Oryctolagus cuniculus: one gene and its partners. The protein of the gene in region 1 interacts with the protein of each later gene in a biochemical or structural test. Links are inferred from orthologs where the notes say so. Each region holds a gene or a part of one and is shown in the gene's direction. Other genes may lie near its edges. The genes, in order: CASP8, BCAP31 and DEDD.

Region 1 (3,655 bases):
CTTTTTGAAGTTCCCTTGCACAAGACACAGTGATAACCCCCAGATCTATGGATCATCTCAAAGATGCCAACAGCTATTCCTATTATACCATAATAAGGGACAAGAGAGTAAGGAAAATTCAACCTCCTGGTAGCATGGAGTCAACTGTCTAACCCAATTTAGTTCCAAGAACCATGGAAGCAGATATGGATTCTCCTCTGGAAAAACTGAGAGCCCCAGATAAAAGACTCACAGGTAGTGATATCTAGGGGTCCCCTAATGAAACAATCAGGCCCCCAGCCAATCAGTATGTTATGAAGTCCACCAGTGAACAAACCCACTCATGAACACAGTCAACTTTTAAATTGATTAGTTGGAGCTGGTGTGGTAGTTTAGCAGCTTAAGCCACTGCCTGTGATGCTGGCTTTCCATACAGGCTCTGGTTCACTGTTCCACTTCCAATCCAGTTCCCTGATAATATGCCTTGGAAAGCAGCAGAAATGGCCCAAGTGTTTGGGACCCTGCCACCCGACATGGCAGACATGGAAGAAGCTCTTGTCTCTCGGCTTTAGCCTGGCCCAGCTCAGGCCAGTGCAGCCATTTGGGGAGTGAACCAGCAGAGGATGGAAGACCTCTCTCTCTCTCTCTCTCTCTCTCTCTTTATCTCTCTCTCTCTCCCTCCCTCTTTTTCCTTTCTCCCTATCTCTCTGTAACTCTGCCTTTCAAATAAATAAATCTTTAAAAAATAAAAACAAATACATTGATTAGTCAACTTATGAAGTGACAGTCAAGGATCATCAAACACGTGAAGAAATAATCTAATACCAAACAGAGACACAATACAAATCAGAAAATAATGAACTAGAATGTGAAAGAAACAAAGATAATATTGATAAGAATAAACCTTTGGAAAATCTATATTTAGTGTTTGCAGAAATCTAGTAACAGACTCATAAAGGAACCAGATGTTATGAAACATCAACAGAACAAGAAACAATCCTTGAAAAGTATGGAAATATGAGCACAGAAATGAAAAATTCAATAGTGTGGAAGATTCCAGTCTCAGATGGCAGACAAAAAGACAAGAAAGAATGCAAATAAGAGCAAAGGGATACGAAAATTTGAAAATCAGTTAAGAATTTTCAACCTCTGACAATGATAGTTCCAAAAAGAGAGGACAGAGAAAATGAGGAGACATTGAATTGTCCATGAGTCAGTCTCAAGACTGAAAGGGCCTGAAGTTGCAAAAGAGTTACATCAAAGCATATCACATTATAGAAGCTTCTAGTGAAAAAAAGTCAAGACAAATACATAAAATATCAGGAATTGAATGTCCATGGGTTTCTCAATAGCATCACTGAAAACTAAAGATTGAAGAAATGTCTTCAAAATTCTGAGGAAAAATGCTTTTGGAAATAGAATTCTATATCCAGCTAAACTATCAAAACATATGAAAGTAGAAATGAAAGGCTCAAAAATTTTACTTCTCATGTACTATCAGATCTATTCAAGTTAAACAAGCTAGTAAGCTAAGAGATAAAAAGTCATAGTTTCAGGAAATTACTATGGAAAAACTATAGAGATGCCCCAGGAAAAGAGAAACTCATCATTCCTAGGGAGCAGCTAGTTGGGACTGGAGCAGAAGAATGTAGTGCCAAAGGGTAGAAGCTTCCCAGGAAGAAAAAAAAATGGGTCAAATAAGCAGCCTGAAGATTTTGAAACACTTAGACCAGATCTATCAGAGCATTTGTAGAAAATAAATAATATTAAGCATATAGAAAACAAAGCAAGAGGAAAAATAATGTGATTACTAATGCATTAAAGATAAAAAGTTGAATGAGAAAGGAAATATTTGTATAATTAAAGACCATTATGTTTGTGTAATCTTAGTAATATAAATATTACTGTAGATTCAACCTGCTTATCATTAATATAAGAGCTCAATACAGAAATCCGAAATTTGTACTTGAGTAAATAGCATCCAAATTCATTATAAAATGGAATCCAACAGCAAAAAAGTAGTTAAAAGCTGAAAGTGTTGGCCTTCATGAAACATGGTGGGGGAACAGAGAGGGTTAGTGAGAAGATCACTGTGTGTGTGTGTGTGTGTATATATATATATATATATATATATATATTAGATCTCAGTTCTATTTTAAAATCTGTGTATTTTATTTTGATAAATACAAACATTTTGTAGCTGGTTAAGCATAAAATAAATATTAATATTTTGCTGAAAATGACTGCTTTTAGGGATGGCACTGTGGCCCAGTGGGTCAAGCTGCGCCCTGTAATACCAGCAGCTCATATGAGCATTGGTTTGCATCCCAGCTGCTCTTCTTGTGATCCAGCTCATTGCCAATGCACCTGGGAAGCAGCAGAGGATGGGCTGTAGTGCTGGGGCCCCATGTGGGAGATCCAGAGTTCCAGGTGCCTGGCTTTGGCCTGGCCCAGTCCTGGCCATTGAGGTCATTTGGGGAGTGAACCAGGGGAGGAAATATTCTCTGTCTCCCTCCCTCTCCCCCTCTCTCCCTCCTTTCTGTCTCTCTCCTTCTCTGTAATTCTGCTTTTAAAATAAATAAGTCTTAAAAATTACTTCGTTTTTCTGACCTTATAACACAGCCACACTTTAATTTGGCTTGGTAGTAAGCCTTAATAATAGTTCACTCATCTCATAAAGTAGTTCAGAAAAGACAACGGACCAACAATAGCACTCTCCCCTTTACCATTTGCTTCAAGGCTTGGAAATGTTTTCAGCTGCCTATAGAATCCAGCTACTGAGATAGGAGGTCTTGTTCTTTCAGTTCTGATTCAAATTATCATTAACATCGAACTCACTGTTCTCTCCAGCTGTGGGCTGTAGTGTGGGAATGACTGTGCTACAGTGTAACTTCTCTGACTTGACTTTTCAGAGGCTTTGAGCAATACCTTCACTGACCTTCACTTTGAAGTAGTCCATTACAATGACTGCACGGCAAAGCAGATCTGTGACATTCTGCAAAGCTACCAAAGCATGGACCACAAAGACAGAGACTGCTTCGTCTGCTGCATCCTCTCCCATGGAGACAAGGGCATCATCTATGGCACTGATGGGCAGGAGGCCTGCATCTATGATCTGACCTCTTATTTCACTGGTTCGAAATGCCCCTCTCTTGCTGGAAAACCCAAAGTCTTTTTCATTCAAGCTTGTCAAGGGGATAAGTACCAGCAAGCCGTTCCTGTTGCGATAGACTCAGAGCAGCAAGAAACCTATTTAGAAATGGACTCATCGTTTCCAAAGAGATACGTCCCCGATGAGGCTGACTTCCTGCTGGGGATGGCCACTGTGAACAACTGTGTCTCCTATCGAAACCTCTTTGAGGGGACCTGGTACATCCAGTCACTTTGCCAGAGCCTAAGAGAAAGATGTCCTCAGTAAGTTTTGCCTACCTAAGCCTCCTCAAAGTTCTACCACCTGCCTCATCCCCCATCTCTGCGATTAGAGATCCATATTTAGAGTCCGCTAGAACGTGCTTTGTGGTTGAGGTAATATTAACAGATCAGAGAAATAGCCAAGGGAGGTGACTCCCATTCATCTGCAAATGTCTAGCCGTGGGAGAAAAGGCAAGTGTTAGCATCTTTACCACGGATGGAGATACGGGGGTACTCATTGAGGGGTTTTCTTAAAACCAACACT
Region 2 (3,655 bases), on another chromosome or scaffold:
CTGAGGAATATTTTTGCCCAAAACCAAATCTGCATGCAGTTCAGAGGACCCTCGGAAGTGCAACCTGGGAAGCTGTATGGTACAGGCAACCTGGTTTTTGCATAAAGTAAATTGGAAAAGAAAGAGGGAGAAAGGAAGGGGGATTTAAAGAATAAGAGAGACTTACGGCACTTAACTAATGTCCAAAATAGGACCTCGTTGGGTCTTTTAAAAGAATATTTCTTTTTTTTAAAGGTTTATTTATTTATTTGAAAGGCAGAGTTATAGCGAGAGGGAGAGGGAGGGAGGGAGAGAGAGAGAGAGAGAGAAAGAAACCTTCCGCCTGCTGGTTTACTCCTCACATGGCTGCAACAGCCAGGGCTGAGCCAGGCCAAAGCTAGGAGCTTCATCCAGGTCTCCCGTGTGGGTGCAGGGGCACTTAGGCCATTTTCTACTGCTTCCCAAGGAACATTAGCAGGGAGCTGGATTAGAAGTGGAGCAGCTGGGACTTGAACTGGGTGTCCATATGGGTTGCTAGCAGCAGCTTAACCCGCTGTGTCACAACGCCAGTCCTACAAGACACACATTTTGAGTACTACAAAGGAGAGTACAAATGAAAAGTGGGTTTTCCTCTCTAGAGACCACTAATGTCTAGGCATTCCTATCTGTATACATGCAGCTTTTTTTAAGCACTTTTAAATAGCTACCATACATTGGAGAATTCCAGGTGTCTGAAGCTGACACCATGCCGCGCTCGGGCCATGAGAAGAGTGCAAAGCTGACTCTCTGTGCTGGTCAGGGCCCTGCCCCCCAGGATCATGTGCTTTCCCTTCACAGATGGCAGAAGATTTTCAAGTCTCGCCTGGTGGAGTTGGTCGTGACCTACGGCAACACCTTCTTTGTGGTTCTCATCAGCATTCTCGTGCTCCTGGTCATTGGTGAGTGGGCTGTGTGTGGCCTCTGCTGTTCTGTGCTCTGCCAAGTGGGGCTTCTCGCAGACAGATCAGTGAGGCGCCCCCGTCTTTCTTTTGGGCAAGATGGTGCTGCTGCCAGGCATTTGTGGAGAGAGGTTCCTCCAGCAGGGGTGTGACTATACCAGGCAGTCGTTATCTGCATCCTTATGACAACTGCCTCACATTTCCGAGGTTGCTCCTCAGGTCATTCTAGAAGCAAAGCTAAGACAAGCTAACTGGCTCATGTCTCTGGTCTAAGCAGTACTGCTTTCCAGTCATTTAACCAGCAGCATTCTCCCTCAGTGTCTGAAACAGGTCTTCAAATAAGGGGCTGAGCACCCAAGTAGACAGGGAGCCTTGTGGAAGGAAGTCCTGCCGTGTCTGCTAATGGAAAAGGGCACTGAGCTGACTAGCAGTGTAGCTTGGGGACAAATCCCAGACCTCTCTGGATCTGGGCTGGACTTCAGGTCTTTGCAAGTGCTTCCAGCTCTGCGGTCCTATAAACCTTGGCATTGAGACACACACCTGCAGGGGCTTGAAAGACAAATGGACCAGAGGGCATGCTTGGGTGGGGCTGGAGCCGGTGGTGCTAAGATGTAAGGTGGACATTTCAGGGCAAGGTAGTGGCAGAGTTGTTTGGAGGCAGGAGGAGTCCATAAAACTTGTCTGCCTGTTAGTTGTGCACTGTTTTGCTGTGCTGAGTGATCACTGTGTCCACCTACTCAGACTCCGCAGTGTCAGCTCTGTTGGGACAGGGGTCCTGTCTCATGGTGGTGGTGCTGCTTAGGCTTGGCGTACTCCTCTCCCCCGTCCCGTGTCCTTCGCAGAAATGCAGCGGGGACTGCGGGGGTCAGGGGAGTGTGCAAAGACTGCCTCCCACTCCAGGCCTCCAGCTGCAGCATCAGGCATTTCTCCTTCCTGATGTCTTGAGGCCTGACAGGATATGTTCAGGAAGAACTGCCTCTGAACAGGCCAGGTGCGGCTTGCAGTTCCAGCCACGTAGGATAGTGCCTCGCTGTTCCTGCAATACTTGGCAAGACCCCAAGAGGCCGTTCTTCCCAGTCAGGACTCTTCCCTGAGCAGCTCTGAGCCAGGAGCTCGGGGGGGAGTTGCGTGTTGTCTCTGGGGCTGAGCGCCACGAAAAGCCAGGCTACAGAATTTTTGAACTGTGCCTGTATATTTTTGCTCTTAGGTTCTGATTGGAGGCAAGGACTAGGGAAATGAGGGATTAAGCCAGAGATTATTACCTCAGTGCCTTAGCCTTCCAGTACTGTAACCATCTCTGTTTCCTACCGCAGCTCAATGAGCCAGAGATCCTTTGTAGCTTTGAGTACTTGATAAACCTGTATTCTTTTTTAGGATCAAGGTCCTGCTCAGAAGTTCTAGAGAGACATATGGCTGGAACAGCTGGCTGCTTCCTACCCTGATGTTAAAAAGCAGAATCCAGAGAGAGTCCTCTACAAATAGAAATGGTAGTGAATAGCAAGAGCTAGTTAGTGAAAAGTAGTGGGTGCAACCAGCTGGAGCTACAGCCTGGCCCACCCTTTATGTTCCCTGGGAGAGCCCCAGGACCCATGTACCCAGGAGAAGGCGGTGGATGGGTCTAGGGCGCACCTCCTGGGTATGATGAGGCAGAGCCAGTGCCTCCCAGCCCAGTCTTCTCTTGGCTGTTGACCAAGGTGGGCCTTATGACGATGAGATTCCTCGATGCAGGGGGCAGTGTAAGAAAACAGGACTTTTAATCTTGTTTTCTGATTAGAAAGTAATGCTTAATTGTTTTTGAAAGTTTAGAAATTGAACTTAGACAGTTAAAGTCCCCCATCATCCCATGTCTTACAGGCAGCCATCCCAAATACTTTCTCATGCATTTCCACCGGTGTTCTCTGCTTACATCTCTGTTACCATGTTTACAGTAGTGGGATCATGCACACACGTTTTAGATTGTGCTTTTTTCCCTCTGGTTATAAATTAGACATCGTTGTACAGCAATCTCATTCTTCTTAAAGAGTACATAGTATTCTCATATAGTTGTACCACAATTTAATGCCCTCTTTGTAGATACTCTCACAACATTGCACATTTGTACAAAGGCTTCTGTGGGATAACATCAGAGAGAAGGAGTCACTGAACCTGAGGGTATGAACATCTTGCATTTTATTTTATTTATTTATTTTTTTAATTTTTTGACAGGCAGAGTGGACAGTGAGAGAGAGAGACAGAGAGAAAGGTCTTCCTTTGCCGTTGGTTCACCCTCCAATGGCCGCCGCGGCTGGCGCGCTGCGGCCGGCGCACTGCGCTGATCCGATGGCAGGAGCCAGGAGCCAGGTGCTTTTCCTGGTCTCCCATGGGGTGCAGGGCCCAAGCACCTGGGCCATCCTCCACTGCACTCCCTGGCCACAGCAGAGGGCTGGCCTGGAAGAGGGGCAACCGGGACAGAATCCGGTGCCCCGACCGGGACTAGAACCCAGTGTGCCGGCGCCGCTAGGCGGAGGATTAGCCTAGTGAGCCGCGGCGCCGGCCCGAACATCTTGCATTTTATAACAGGTGTCTTATGTCAGTTAGTGTTCCTGCTTAGAGTATGTGAGGGTGCTTGCTTCATGCTACAGATTTGACAGTAAAGGAAGGTGGATTTTTATGATGCAAGATCAGCTTGAAAACCAAGCCGCCAGGAGAGGTGTTTAGCCTAGCAGTTAAGATGCCAGTATCCCATAGCAGAGTACCTG
Region 3 (2,376 bases), on another chromosome or scaffold:
TTGGAAAGCAGCAGAAGATGGCCCAGGTGCTTGGGCACCTGCATCCATGTGGGAGACCTGGGTTCCTGCCACCCATATGAGAGACCTTGACTGAGTTCCTAGCCCTGGCTTTGGCTTGGTCCAGTCCCAGCTGTTGCAAACATTTGAGGATTGAACTAGCAAATGGGGATGCTCTCTCTGCCTCTCCAAATAACAATAATGATAATAATAATGAAAAGACATGTGTAGCGTTACTGTACTGTGTCAGGCATTGTGCTAGGCACTGGGAATACAGGAATGGGTGAGACTCATTTCTGTCATGTGGCTCATAGATTGTTTCCTTGTCCTTACAGTTCAGTGGGGATTACAGCTGCTGCGCAGGGATTCTGGAAAGCATTGCGTACCTGAGCCCCCAGCATGGCGGGCCTAAAGCGGAGAGCAAGCCAGGTGTGGCCAGAAGAGCATGGTGAGCAGGAGCACGGGCTGTATAGCCTGCACCGCATGTTTGACATCGTGGGTACCCACCTGACACACAGAGACGTGCGTGTGCTTTCCTTCCTCTTCGTGGATGTCATTGATGACCACGAGCGTGGACTCATCCGAAATGGACGTGATTTCTTATTGGCACTGGAACGCCAGGGCCGCTGTGATGAGAGTAACTTTCGTCAGGTGCTGCAGCTGCTGCGCATCATCACTCGCCATGACCTGCTGCCCTACGTCACCCTCAAGAGGAGACGGGCTGGTGAGGGTGCCCCGGGGGCTGGGACCACTGGAATCAGGGAAGCGGTGTGGGAGGCCAGGAGTGAGCAGCGTAGTAATCCAAAGGGGAAGAGGCGTTGAGCCTGGCAAGCGCCTGGAAGAGTGAAGTTACAAGATCCTCACTCACGGGGCCGGCGCTGTGGCACAGCGGGTTAACGCCCTGGCCTGAAGCACTGGCGTCCCATATGGGCGCTGGTTCTAGTCCTGGCTGTTGTCTTCCGATTCGGTCCTCACTCACAAGAGTGAGGTTTGGACTGGGAGAAGAGAAGGGTGTCTCTTTTCTGAATGACTCCTCCTTCCTCTACAGTGTGCCCTGATCTTGTAGACAAGTATCTGGAAGAGACATCAATTCGCTACGTGACCCCCAGAGCCCTCAGTGACCCAGAACCGAGGCCTCCCCAGCCCCCTAAAACAGGTGAGAAGATAGAAACTCCCTCAAACTTCCCTAATCAAATAGGAGGACTCTACCGTCACATTGCTGGTTTTGCCGGCCTAATGGAGGGATGCTATCCTCCACCCGTCCCGTGAATCACGAGGTGAAGAGTTAATACTTCACGTAGGCTCTGTGTTGGCTCTAACTTTGTATCCTCCTCTCAGGTCACGTTGTTGACACTGTTTTTAGTGATAAGTCTAAATGTCTCCTTCCTCAATCCAAGAGAAGTGTTTTGGATTTCTGCGTTTGCCCGACTGTGTTTTCTTCCCTTTTACCTTCTGGCCAGTGCCTCCCCACTATCCTGTGGTGTGCTGCCCCACTTCCGGTCCTCAGATGTGTAGCAAGCGGCCAGCTCGAGGGAGAGCCACACTTGGGAGCCAGCGGAAACGTCGGAAGTCAGTGACACCAGATCCCAAGGAAAAGCAGACGTGTGGTAAGAAAATTTTAAAGGTTCCAGAGATGGAATAAGACTTGTGGGGAAATATAAAGAAGTGCTTGGATACTGGGCAATTTATAATATTCAGTGCAAACCTCACTTTGACTACTATAGCAAAGTGAAGTTGAATGGTTAATTCTCTCATGGAAGAACTCTTTATCTTAGGGAAGGATACATTTAAACTCTTTTTAGTTGAACATTTGATCAAAAGGGTGCCATTATGCCATCCTTATTGTAAGGCAAACCAAGTCTAGATAGAGATTTAAAATTAACTTCTATGCCTGTTAATTAGGAAAATTATCTCCTATGAGCAAGGTGCTGCTTGTGATAGGAATAATGCTGACTTGAGCATATTCCACTGCAGGGAACCTCCTGCAATCAGGCAACAATTTCAGAGGCACAGAGTCCTCTGGAAAAAATTAGTCCTGGGGTGGCACAGTGGTTTAAGCTGCTGCTTGGGACACCTGCTTCATCTTGGAGCACATTTTGAGTCCCAGCTGCTCTGCTTCTGATCCAGCTTCCTGCTATAATGTGCCTGAGAAGTAGTAGATGACTACCAGCTGTAGTTCCTGGCGCCAGCCTGGTCCAGTTCAGCTGTTGCCGGCATTTGGAGAATGAACCAGTGGATGGAAGATCTCCTCTCTCCTTCACTCTTTGTCACTCTCCCTTTCAAATAGATAAATTAAAAAAAGAACTAGTCCAGTGTAAGAGAGACTGTCAGGTGGTTTCCAACTTTGCTACTCTTTTTTGCTTTTCAAACTTCGATTGT

The links.
Region 2: of the proteins of CASP8 (region 1) and BCAP31, one has a biochemical effect on the other in vitro, tested with the Homo sapiens proteins (2 studies listed by BioGRID, with this or other methods). The link is inferred for Oryctolagus cuniculus from reciprocal best matches to the Homo sapiens genes CASP8 and BCAP31.
Region 3: the proteins of CASP8 (region 1) and DEDD form a complex in vitro, tested with the Homo sapiens proteins (2 studies listed by BioGRID). The link is inferred for Oryctolagus cuniculus from reciprocal best matches to the Homo sapiens genes CASP8 and DEDD.

The regions. Positions count from the first base shown.
Region 1 is NC_091434.1:38,673,111-38,676,765, reverse strand, and holds part of CASP8 (caspase-8), read left to right. Parts: intron 1-2,891; coding exon 2,892-3,393; intron 3,394-3,655. UniProt on the Homo sapiens protein: Thiol protease that plays a key role in programmed cell death by acting as a molecular switch for apoptosis, necroptosis and pyroptosis, and is required to prevent tissue damage during embryonic development and adulthood.
Region 2 is NC_091453.1:132,081,443-132,085,097, reverse strand, and holds part of BCAP31 (B-cell receptor-associated protein 31), read left to right. Parts: intron 1-816; coding exon 817-917; intron 918-3,655. UniProt on the Homo sapiens protein: Functions as a chaperone protein. Is one of the most abundant endoplasmic reticulum (ER) proteins.
Region 3 is NC_091438.1:37,680,549-37,682,924, forward strand, and holds part of DEDD (death effector domain-containing protein), read left to right. Parts: intron 1-311; exon of another isoform or gene 312-332; 5' UTR 333-396; coding exon 397-721; intron 722-1,045; coding exon 1,046-1,153; intron 1,154-1,457; coding exon 1,458-1,604; intron 1,605-2,376. UniProt on the Homo sapiens protein: A scaffold protein that directs CASP3 to certain substrates and facilitates their ordered degradation during apoptosis. May also play a role in mediating CASP3 cleavage of KRT18. Regulates degradation of intermediate filaments during apoptosis.